3 linked regions of the Ovis aries genome follow. The protein of the gene in region 2 purifies or fractionates together with the protein of the main gene of each other region. This does not show direct contact. Links are inferred from orthologs where the notes say so. Each region holds a gene or a part of one and is shown on either strand. Other genes may lie near its edges. The genes, in order: TSC22D2, NRBP1 and TSC22D1.

Region 1 (4,385 bases), on a different chromosome or scaffold from region 2:
GGTCAGACTGCGGTAGACTCGTCGGGGCACTGGCTGTGCCAGGCGCTAAGGGCAGCCCCACGTGCTGGATGCTGCTGCCGCTCCTGCTGACCGGAGGCTGGCTGCAAAGCTGCGGCGCCTGGCCCAGGGGCGCGGGAACATTTGGCATAGTAACAGAAGTCGTCGACACACTAGGCACGCTGGGAGCGGGCGCGGCTGCAGGCACGTTGGCAACTCCGGGCACCACGGCAAGAGGGCCGCCGGGCACGACCGACGGCGCGCCGCTGCCACCCATCTGCGGCAGAGGCGCGGCCTGCGGCTGCCCGACCCCGGCGGGAACCAGGCCCGATGGCGCCGTGCCTCCCACAGTAGCCGGGGGCACTCCGGCCGGCTGACCCTGCGCGGCCGGTCCTCCGGGCGCGGGGCCCGGCCCAGGGGCCACCGCTTCTCCGGGCAAGGAGGGCGCACCCATCATCTGCGCGCCAGTGGAGGCGGCGTTCTGGCCGGTGCCCGCGGGGAGACCGGCGGCCGCGGCCAGACCCGCTGCCGCGCCCGTGGAAGAGGGCTGCGCCGGGCTGGGCGGCTGCAGGCCGGCCACGTGCGGCTGCAGGTACTCACTCTGGCCGGCGGGCGGGACGGGCAGCAGATGGCCCGGCGGCATCTGAGGCTGAGAATACGCGAACTGCTGGGGCGGGGGCGCGGTGGCAGCGCCCACGGCCAGGCCGGGCTGCGCCAGGGTTACATTCGTCAGTGGCAGGCCCTGTCCGTTGGGCCCCGGGGGCCCGGCGCCCTGGGCCTGGCTGGGCGGCGGGGCTGCCAACCTCTGCGGCGGCGCGGCCGCGGCTCCCGGGAACAGCGGCAACGAAGCCGAGCTTGGAGCCACAGCCCCACCTACGGGCGGAGGCGGCGGCGGCGGCGGCTGCGGCTGCCCAACGCCAAAACTCTGCGGCGGGGCCGGGGCGGGTTGGCTCATTTTCTCCGACTGGGGTAGCTGTGACACAGCAGTCAAGGAGCTGTCAGTTCCCGAGTCGGGCCCGTGCGCGCCTGGCATGGAGGCCACCACCACCACCACCGACCCTCCGGTGGCGCCCAGGCCGCTGTCCCGCTCCGCAGTCTGGTCAAAAGTATTGCTGTGCCTAATGCAATCCCCGGACCGGGTCAGGACGCTGCTATCGGAATCCCGCTCATAGTATTCCATACACGTCCATCGGCCGCGTCTATAAGGCTCCCCGCTGCCGTGGTCCAGCTTGATCACGCGAAAACGCGAACTACAAGCGGTGGGGGGCTGTGATGAGGCGGCAGTTCCCGGCGTGGCGGACGGGCCTGTGACCGGGGGGGCGCCGGGGGCCCCCGAGGAGGGGGCTGAGGGGGCGGCCGGCGACAGGGTGCTGGTCAGCACCCCGGCCACGCTCCGGGCCGAAACGGCTCCTCCTCCGTTGGCCGGAGCGGCTGTCGCGGCCGCCAGCTGTCCGTCCAGGAGAAGGTTGGGGGAGACGGTTCCGGGAGTCTCGGCATCCCCAACATTGTTGAGTGTCTCTTCGGAGGAGCTGCGCTCGCAGACCTCCTCGGGGCCGTAATCCGTGGCCCGAGAAACGTCGAATATCTCGGAAGAAACGTCCTCCGTGCGTGACTCATCCGGGTCGTCCAGGCTCTCGGTGTCCTCGGTGATGCTAGTAGCCACCTGGGCCGTGGTGACACTGGTGATCTGGAAGCAGCTCTTCTTCTTGGCCGGCATCTTGGACATGGTGAGGAAGGCTGGAAGGGCAGAAGCACCCGGCTCCTCCGCGATCTTGCCGGAAACCAGGAAGGGCAGAACACTGGCCCCCAAAGACAAAGTCCGTGTCCGTGCTGGGGTCTGAGGCCCGCCGCTGTAAGAGTCACGGGCTGATCCGGGCGCCGGTCGCTCCGTGAGACATCCTCCTCCCGTTTCCTTATCCGAGTCGGTGTCTACCGCTCTGCCCCCGTCTCACTCGTGCGGCGGCTCCTCCTTCCTTCTCGCCTCCCGCAGTCGCGGCGCCTCAATTCAATCCCCCCAGTGGCGGCGAGACCACTATCCCAGGGGCGGGTCGGCTGCTTCCTCCTCGCGTCTTCGGGCCGCCGTGGTCAATCCAGCTCCGCGCGGTCAACAGGCCTAGGCTGGGGGTGGGAGTGGGAGGGCGAAGGGGAGGCGGCGGCGGCGTGAGGGGCGGTGCTGCCCCGCTCCGGCTCTTCGAACCAGTGCCGGCGTCAGCTCCGGGCTCTCGGACGCCGAGGGAAGCAGGAGTAGGAGTGGCGAGTCCGGAGCCAGGGATTCCTGATTCAGCCAGGAGCCGCGGGCGGGTGGCGGAGCTTCGGCGCGGGCGGGCGGCCCTCCCTCCCCGGCTCTAGCCGGAGCTCAGTCCCAGGGACATGTCGACTGTCTCAGGCGGAAACCTGCTCCGGGGGAGGGGAAAGCCGGCTCGGTCCTCCCCTATACAGGGGGAGCCACCCCCGCGAGCGGGCGGTGGCGGCGGTCTCGGCCTTCCCCTCGCGGCTCCTGAGAGAGTGAGGGGCGGCGGCCGGCAGGCCGGCAAGCGACGGCGCGCCGGCTGTGTGAGGTAGCTGCGGTAGCTTCTTCGACTCTTCCTCGATGCGCCCGGTTCGCAGGCCCTGTAGAAACTGAAATTCAAACTGCTGAAGCGGCGGCTGCAGCTCCCTCCCCTCGGCCAAGATGGGGCTGAAATGGCCGCGCCAGGGATGCTGGGAGGAGCAGCAGCCCCGCTGCCGCCGCCGCTGCCGACTAAAATGCCGCCGCTGCCGCAGCCACCGCCAGCGCCGCAGCCGCCGCCGTTCCGTGACGCACCGGCGTCGTGACGTCACCACCCCGCCCCCTCCGGTTTCCTGCAGAGTTTCGCGTGGAGGCTGGGGGGTAGTGGGCGGGGCTAAAGGTTAAAAACGGGGAGCGGTTTTTTTTTTTTTTAATTTAAAAAATTTTTTTAAATTTAAATTTGCCCTGTAGGTCTTTAAGAGTTGAAGAACTAAAGACTCTTAAATTCCAACTCTAGGAAAACTTACAGCCGCGCCAATTGAAGGTTTTTATATCGGTTTATTCGGAGACATTGGAAACTGGAGGTCATGTGCTTGCTGTGTCTAATGTTTAGCAAAATCTTAGTGAAAGAAGGCGATAGGAATGGAGGTTGGGGGATTTAGCTAGGATAAAGAGGGAGACGGCTGGAGGAACCGAATCACTTATAAAAAGCCTTTCCTGCAAATGAATGTTATCCACTATAGTCAGAAGAGTGAAATGTTGAGAGAAACGGGGAGGATTAACCAAGAATAGCAAGCCAGATTGAGTCAGAAAAAGGATCTTTCAGCCAGAAATTTTAGTGTCCAACAATGGCATCAGGAGATGGTTACTTGCCCAGGATGAGGTCAGTTTAAAAAAAGATTAGAGGTTACCAACATATTCCTAATTTTCTTGAGTTTGTTGTGATTCCAGCATCGAAGAGTTCGTTTAAACATCTTGAGACTGTTTTTACTTTCAGCATGAAATCAGCTTATGGGCTCCATAAATGTAGAACCTACTGCGTTAAATAGTTGTAGTTCTTTCTTTTGTTTATTCTGAAACTCTTAGTTAGAGCCAGAGTGTTAGATGGTTTGGATTGGGCCGTGAACAATCTGAGCAAGTTAGAAAGCACTCTTTCCTGTCCAGAAAGCAGCTATGCAAGTACTGGAGAATTTACCATCATTTAGTTACTCTCTGGCAAAAGAAAATGGTAACGTCATTCTTTTAAATAGTTGGAAAAAAAAAAAAGGAAGCTGGCTCTTTGACACATTGTTTAGGTAAAATCTAAAGTGTCTTGATGGAATTCAAAGTTTAATATCTATTACAGCTTTAGCAATCATATCATGACTGACATAAATCAAGGTAATTATTGTATTCAGTTCTCTAATCTTTGAATAATAGAAATATTTTTTATTCCAAAGGATCTTTTGATAATTTAAAATTTCAGAGAACTGTTTAGGTCATTAGTTGAAAATAATATACAAGGATATGTCTATGTCATTAAACTTTAGGAGACATTGTGTATTTCAAACCAAATGACTGAGGTCAGGATGTGAAATAAGACAACATAATAAAATTCCTGCTTCTTAAGGGGGTGGGAGAGAGTAAAGGAACCAAGGGGTAACATAATGTTGCTATTGTGGCAAAAATAGCTAATGGAATGTTTCATTACTAAATCTGTAATTTCAGTAATTGTTAGACAGTTTTCCATCAATAAGTTAGATCAACTGGTTACATCAAATATGAGTTTATAAAAACTTCATTTTGGATTGATTTTCTAGATTGTTAAAAGTGAAGATCAATGGGTGATATTATGTGTGCAGCTTTTGGAAAAGTAAGTATTGTATGCCTGCTTGTCCAATTACATTATCTTATTACAGCA
Region 2 (4,341 bases):
GTTTAAAAGTAAATAAAACATACAGCTCCCTTGTTTCCTTTAAGTCCAAAATCAGAATTAGTCCTGTATGAACCCTAAACATTAACTGCTCTCCTAGTCTGGAGAAGGGGAGCTATCTCAGCTGAAGATGACTCACCCAGGTCAGTGACCAACTGAAGTACACATCAAGCTTAAAGAATATGCTGCTATGCATAAACATGTTAATAAATATATTCTATCATGTAAAAAGATGATTCACCCAAGACTGGCAAACAAAAGATTTATGGTTGTGCAACTCATGTTTAGTAAGGTCCAAATGGAACAGCAAAATCAGGGGCCTCATTCTTTCTCAGCAAATACCTACCCAATAGCCTTCCCTTTGAATTCTCATCTACCTCATCTGCATTATGCTCAAGAACCAAGCTACACGGGCACTATGCAGGGCAGATGACTCCAGATCCCCAAATGTTCCAATGAACCAGCTCGAGAGTTAGAGCTGTAGTATTCTCAACCAATTTGTCCAACTGAAACCCTAAGCTGATTTATTCCACTTGCACTAACCCTGGCATCCACTCTCCATCCCTCCTATGCACAGAATAAGTCTGCCAGTCCATGATGAGGCTACCCTTGGGCCAGGTAACCGGTAGTGGTTAGTGACTTCATTCCTGATGACCTCACCTGCCCTGTGATGTGAGTGTGGCAAATGGGTGGGTACTGGTTAGCAACATTTTTTTTCCATTCACTCATTCAACAAGTGTTTATTAAGCACCTATTGTGGGCCAAGCACTGAGCTAGGTGCTCGAGATACCACAGTGAACAATATAAATAAGATGCCAACACTCATAAAGCCTAAATTTAAGGCACAGCTAAGATTTTAATCTTCCAGTTTTCATTTCATTCACATGGCTCAAAGGCTCCATCCTCTGAGGCACTGGATCTGACACAGGTATCCCTTTTAAGCACAAATAATTCAAGACAAAGCCATTACAGGAAAAGTACTATATTACACTAAATAGTGTATAGTATTATACATGGATATGGCTTCTTGGAAAAAAAGAATTCTCAAAAGCGAAATGTCACAAATTTCAGAGTCATAGGAAAACTGCTGAATGTTATTCCACATCTCTAAGAATGAAGGCCGTGAAGAAGTTGGAACCTGTGTGTGCTGGGCTAAAGGGGATGCTCCCCAGGATGAAAGTATCTTGTAGATTTGCTCCTCTAAGTCAGTTCAAAATACAGAAGCTTCTGATCAGGATCTTTTGAAAAGCTCTCATTTCTTTTTAGAACTCAGATGCCCTCCTCTGCCCATCTCTGCCACCAACCTGCACTATGTTTAACTCAAGTCAGGAGATTTCCTTGGTCTTTAAAAAAAATTTTTTTTTTTCATTTTGGAGGAGATTTTTATTAGATGACATTCCAGTAAATATCAAAGAGCAACAAAGCACTACAGAGAAAATCTGGCAAGATGCTTTTTTTCACCTGTTTTTTCCTCAATCTTTGCCTATCATGGATTTCAATCAACAAGTTTTAGTAATCTATCAGTAAATTTAAGTTACAGATCATTTTTCTTCTCCCCATGAAAAGTAGCTAAAAGCTCACAGGGATTACTTTCTAGAGTAACTATTTATAGAATGTATCCTGAATCTGAACAGCTACGGAAAGAACCAGCTACATAATAAGAAATATCAGTGGAACTGTAATACAGGAAGCCTGTGGCCAGTGGGCTCTAAAGAAACTTCTGGACCCAGGGCACAGACAGTTAATCCACAGTATGGCACGAGATGCCAGACCTTCATCAGTCATAGACGCTCTTCGAATGTGCTTGTCTTCTCCCTCCCCAATCTCTCCCCAGTAGGCAAGATGATGGCAATGCCCAAGAATCCCCAGGACCCCTCCTGCTGATGAAGAAACCTTTGCAACACTGGGAGTTTTTGTCTCAGGGTCAGTCGTTCAGAAATTTAAATAAGACCACAGACGGAAAAAGGGAATCTCCTCGCCGCCTCCAGCCACCCCAAGATGCACAGTGTTCACTTCTGAGCCGTGCAGGTAAAACACTGCAAAGTTTTTTCCTGCGAAGTTTTTCATTTTTTGGACTGCAGCTTCTTAGCATCTCAACTCCTCAGCAACACCTCGCAGGCCACAGGCCTCTCGCCCGCTCTCATCCTGAGGGGACCGAAGAGGACCTGAGACCTGCAGGACTGACCAGTCAGACAGATATAAACTCGAGGAGGAATTTAACACTCCAACAGGTCGCCTAGCCCGCTGACTGCGAGGGAGCGTCGGGCCCCCAAGCAGGCCCTGTAGCCAGCAGCGGCCACCTCACCAGAGGCCGGCCCCGCGGCGCCGTCAGGGGCGCAGGCCACGCCCCCGCGCAGTCGGCGCGCCGGCCCCGCGAGCAGGCGCGGCCCCGACGCTGCGCTTCCGCAGGCCTCCGGGCCTGCGGCCGCCGCCCCCGCCCCCGCCCCCGCCGCCGGCCCCGCCTCTCGTCAGGCCGAGTTCTACACGAACGCCGGGGCCTCGCGCCCCGCGCCCGCAGAATTCCGGGGCCCCCTGCCGCCACTCGGGGGCAGTCGGGGAGGGCCGGGCAGGAAATGTGGGGCCGAGGCGGCCCCCCGGCTCCGGCGGGCCGGGCCTTGGCCACCGAGTGAGCAGGGCCGCCTCCAGACACTCGCCTGCTAGGGTCCCAGATCCGGGCCCTAGAGGCCGATCCTTCGGTCCTCTCGCTGAAACCTTCCCTCCCCTAGGCGCTCACCTCCTGACTCCGCTCCCCGCAGCCTGCGCTTCAGTTCCAGCTCGGGTTCCGGGGCCCCGGATCAGAAAGACTCGCTCACAGCTGCGCTCCGCGGCGCAACCGAACTGCGGGCCCCGCCCTCGTGGCGTCCTGACCAACAGTGGGCGGTGCCGCACTGCCGTTGGGTTTCCATTGGACAGGGCGGCCAGGGTGGGCGGTGCCCCGGGTGTACTGTGGCTGGTAGAGGTAGCCTTCAACCCGGTCTCCTCCCGCTGCGCCTGTCCGGCTGAGATCTCTCGGCGGGTTCGGTGTTTTCGGTCTCAGTGAGGCTCGTCTCTCTGTCTACCCCTCGGTCCGGTCCTGGTGCCCCGGACGATTCTGCTGGGCGAAAGGAAGGCCTTGCCCCTTTTCTTGAAGGCGCCATGACAGTTCTAGTACGACTGAAAGACAAAAGGAGCGAAAGACGCAGCCACAATCCGAGAGGAGAGCCCACCCGCTTTCAGTATTTGGGGGTGAGACTGTGCAGGACACCTATTCAGAAAACTTTCTTTGAATTACTGTGTACATTAAAACTGAAAATTAATAGTTAACGCTTCGTAAGTGGATAGTAATGACGTTGGCCAAAACTTCGCAAGAGGTTTTCACAGATGTTCTCTCTTTTGATCCTCATAAGAAATTGAAATTTTCTTTGAGCAGTAGTTGTCAAATGGAAAAATACTGAATCAGAGGCATTAAGCTATTCACCGAAAGTTGGTAAGAACTAAATTAGGATCCGAAACAGTAAGGCTTATCACAGATTTCCTTGAAAAGATGTTTGGAAAAAATTTAGATCGAAGAGAGTCCAAAGGAAAGAAGTGGACTCGGCTCTTAAGACACGTATTGTGGAGGGAGAAGGGTGAATCAATCAGTACTTGGGAATGTCATAATCACCAAATTTCACTAAAGGACATCTGTTGTCCTGTTTAACTGATAAGACTGGCAAAAGTCTTCTCATTTTCCATCTCTTCACCTCAAAATTTTTAAAATCACTCTTTGTTCCTTGATGCTTTCATCTTTGAAAGAGAGGGCTCCAACACGCTTAGAAATCTGGACCTTGTTTTGGATATTTAGCATATAATTTCAGGGAGCTGAGGTTAAGAATCTTTGTTGTCATCTCAAAGAAAGAATGTTCCTCCTCCTATCCAGATTAATCTCTTAACTTCGTATATTCCAAAGCACTGAATACCTGCCCCACAGTAAACATTAAATATCAGTTGATACTACTATTGCAGTTTCCCATTATCTCCTGTCTGGGTCTTAGTATCATTGACCTTTACCTTTCAACTAGCTCCTTTCAAATCTGCATAAAGGACCTAGGCATCCTCAAGCTCTTATTTGTTTTTAACCTTTCATTCATGGTTTTTTTGTTGTTTTTTGCCCAGCTGCATTCCCCACTGCCCTTACAGTGGAAGTTGAAGTCTTAACCACTGGATTTCCAGGAAAGTCCATTTTCATTCATATTTAAAATGCCCAAGGAGACTTCTCTGCCAGACCAGGGGTTAAAACTGCCCTTCCAATGCAGGGGGCATGTCTTCCAATCCTAGTCAGGGAACTAAGATTCCCGTCGTGTTGCAGCCATGCTGCCAAAATAA
Region 3 (2,812 bases), on a different chromosome or scaffold from region 2:
TATAAAGGAAGCCACTGGAATTATCCTATCTTTTGTTTGGGCATCCCTAGGAGCTGGGAACTCAATCCACACTAGGAAAGGCATCCATTCTCAGAGTTCTTGAAGCGGAAATCAGATTCTCTCTCTAAGCCCCAACTTCTGATCCTAGAGCTGCTTGTTGGGATTATACATGGAGTAAGGTTCATTCCCCTCAGCCGGTAAACACTAGAAGATTAAGACTTCCACGGACTCCCAGAGTTTTAAAGCCACAGAGGCATTCAAGAGATTTCTCTCAGCTCCCTCGCATCAGCTGTGAATGGGGAACGCGGCTTGTCCAGGTCACACAACCAGTCTCAAGGACCAAGCTCTTGCCTCCTTGTCTCTTCCCTTACTCCCTGAAAGAACTCAATGTCAGATTCCTTATGTTTCTCCAGTCAAACCATGAGCATCACTACTTTGCCCAACCCTTTCACCCCCCTTCAGAATTTCACCAAATTGTTTTAACTTGGCCTGGAAAGAGTTGTGGAAATGACTACCATTACATTAACACTGTAACGTAGAAACACTTGTTTATCAACATTTTGTATGCTTTATTGAAAGTTGACAAGTGCAACAGTTAAATACAGTGACACCTTACAACTGTGTAGAGAACATGCACAGAAACATATGCAGGTAACTACTATACAGGTAATATGCAGAAACCCCTACTGGGAAATCCATTAGCTAGAACTCTGCATTTTTCAAAGTATTCAACCAGTTCAATCAAGGATTTCAGTGAACAGGGAGCGACTTCAAGATACTCAGCAGCTAGAAGATTGCAGATTACACAAAGTGACTAACTGTGCCAAATTCTTAAAATCTCTTTAGGGAGGTGTGTTTTGCTTCATGGGTTTTTCACGGAGATCGCTATATAAAAGACAATCCACACCTCTTCAGACAGCCAATGAAACATCTAAATTGCAATCTGTACAACCTAAATAGTAGTTACAGTCCTCTATTGTACAAAATAGTTACACTACATACACAAATATACAATAAGCAAAACAACCTTCATGGTAAGAGAGCTTAGGTCCCAGCTACCTGTCACCATTTAGTCACGCTAATAGTTTTGTGTCACTGTTTCGGAAAGAGGCACAGTACGATTTTTTTTTTTAATGGAGTCTGGTGACAGTCGTCGTTTGTACAATGAACTATGTTTTCCCCTCATCTTAGGTGAGACTAAGCTTCACTCTTGACCTTCACCCCCCTTTCCAGTTCCTCTCGGGGGAGGAGAGGAAAGTCCAGCGGCAAGCTCCTCTGCTTTGGAACCCCATGGAGTACACTACTGTGCAAGCAGGAAGAACTCTTGGAGGTGGGGGGGAGTGGGGAGCAGGGGCGGGGAGTGGAAAGGCACAACAGCTCCTCAGAATGAATGAAACCACTTCTCACGGTTCTGCCAAGCTGCATGAGGTCCCAGTATATCCATGCTAATTCTCTGATTAACCTTTAACTCACCCAACTAAGCAATTTCTTCAAGCCGAAAGCATATGAGTGTTTAATACTGGAAAAAAGAGAAAATGGCATATGTCAGTCTCACGTCTCTTTTGCAGCGAGCAATGAAATGGGTGACGGTGGGGGCGGACCCCTCCCCTAGTACATCTTCTCAGGTCTGTTCAGTTCAGACCACAGCAGCCAGTTCTTCGGGGGCCGGGATGGCTACGCAGTTGGTCCTGAGCCCTGGGATGCTGGCTGGGCCGGGGGCTGTGTGGTCCCCTGTGGCTGTGTGGTGGCAGGGGGCGAGCCAGTCTGCAGCTGGGCCTGGAACTGGGCAAGCTGCTCGGGACTGGCCAGTGTCTTCAGCAGATTGTTCTCCTGCTCCAGCTGGGAATTTTTCTCTATGAGTTCCTTGATCTGTTCCTTGAGGACCTCCACTTCCTCTCTAACTGCATACATCAAATGGCTTTTCACCAGATCCTGAAAGGGAGAGAAGGAAGCGGGGTGGGGGAGAAAGGTTTAACGTTCTATTGACTGTTTCCCGGACTCTAAATTGTTAAAACATTTTGCAAGTCTCTCCCTAACCACTGACATATCCTGCCTTTAGAGATTCATTTAACAGGCTCCAGGGGAAAAAGACGGAATACCACCCTAACTGTACAATACTTCAGTTTAACGTATAAGTGATCAAGGTTTTGCTTTCCTTGCAGCTGTTGGCCAGGAGTGCCTACGCTCAGGTTTCCTATTCGAGATGGCAAAACGCAGCCGGGCTCCAGCTCGGTGCAGAAAGAAGCCGGGCCCAGGGATGTCCAGCCCCGAGCAACGGGAGCCACGACCCCGCCCCCAAGCCCCTCCCTCCGCCCGCTGGACCGCCTCCCTCAGCACCGGCTGCAGCCAGTTCCTACAGAGCGTGTTGCCGCATTTTCCTCCCCCCACCCCCCCTTTTCGTGATTAAGCTGACATCACAGAAACCTGGGCAGCCGTCGCAGCCAATGGGCGCTCGAGTTATTTATAGCTCCGAATTAAAGGTTCGGAGTTTGCCTAGCAACAGTGGGCAGAGAATCCCGTGAGAAGAGCCACAGGCGCTGCTCCAATAACAAAGAACGGCCAAGGCGGAAATAAAAAATGGGAGAAATCCAGGCGCAGGCTGAGACGGCGAAACTTTTCTCCGGCTCTTCTTCATTGTGCAGGAGCCTCCACCACTGGGGATCCGTTTGGCCCTGTGGAGGAGGCTCCTTCCCGAGACCCCCCACTTCTGGGGCCCTCCCCGCTCCCGGCTCCGCGGTAAACCTTAGGATCCCTAGGAAAGCCACATCACTAGCGATGTGCCCGAGACCAAAGGACACGCTGGGCCAGCGCT

Evidence for each region.
Region 1: the proteins of NRBP1 (region 2) and TSC22D2 purify together in Homo sapiens (affinity purification with mass spectrometry; 5 studies listed by BioGRID and IntAct, with this or other methods). This does not show direct contact. The link is inferred for Ovis aries from reciprocal best matches to the Homo sapiens genes NRBP1 and TSC22D2.
Region 3: the proteins of NRBP1 (region 2) and TSC22D1 purify together in Homo sapiens (affinity purification with mass spectrometry; 6 studies listed by BioGRID and IntAct, with this or other methods). This does not show direct contact. The link is inferred for Ovis aries from reciprocal best matches to the Homo sapiens genes NRBP1 and TSC22D1.

Annotation. Positions count from the first base shown.
Region 1 is NC_056054.1:238,433,680-238,438,064, forward strand, and holds the start of TSC22D2 (TSC22 domain family protein 2), read right to left. Parts: upstream 2,810-4,385; 5' UTR 1,724-2,809; coding exon 1-1,723. UniProt on the Homo sapiens protein: Reduces the level of nuclear PKM isoform M2 which results in repression of cyclin CCND1 transcription and reduced cell growth.
Region 2 is NC_056056.1:34,470,855-34,475,195, reverse strand, and holds the start of NRBP1 (nuclear receptor-binding protein), read right to left. Parts: upstream 2,833-4,341; 5' UTR 2,732-2,832; intron 1-2,731. UniProt on the Homo sapiens protein: Required for embryonic development. Plays a role in intestinal epithelial cell fate and proliferation, thereby involved in the architectural development of the intestine potentially via the regulation of Wnt-responsive genes.
Region 3 is NC_056063.1:15,072,815-15,075,626, forward strand, and holds the end of TSC22D1 (TSC22 domain family protein 1), read right to left. Parts: intron 1,933-2,812; coding exon 1,675-1,932; 3' UTR 546-1,674; downstream 1-545. UniProt on the Homo sapiens protein: Transcriptional repressor. Acts on the C-type natriuretic peptide (CNP) promoter. Acts to promote CASP3-mediated apoptosis.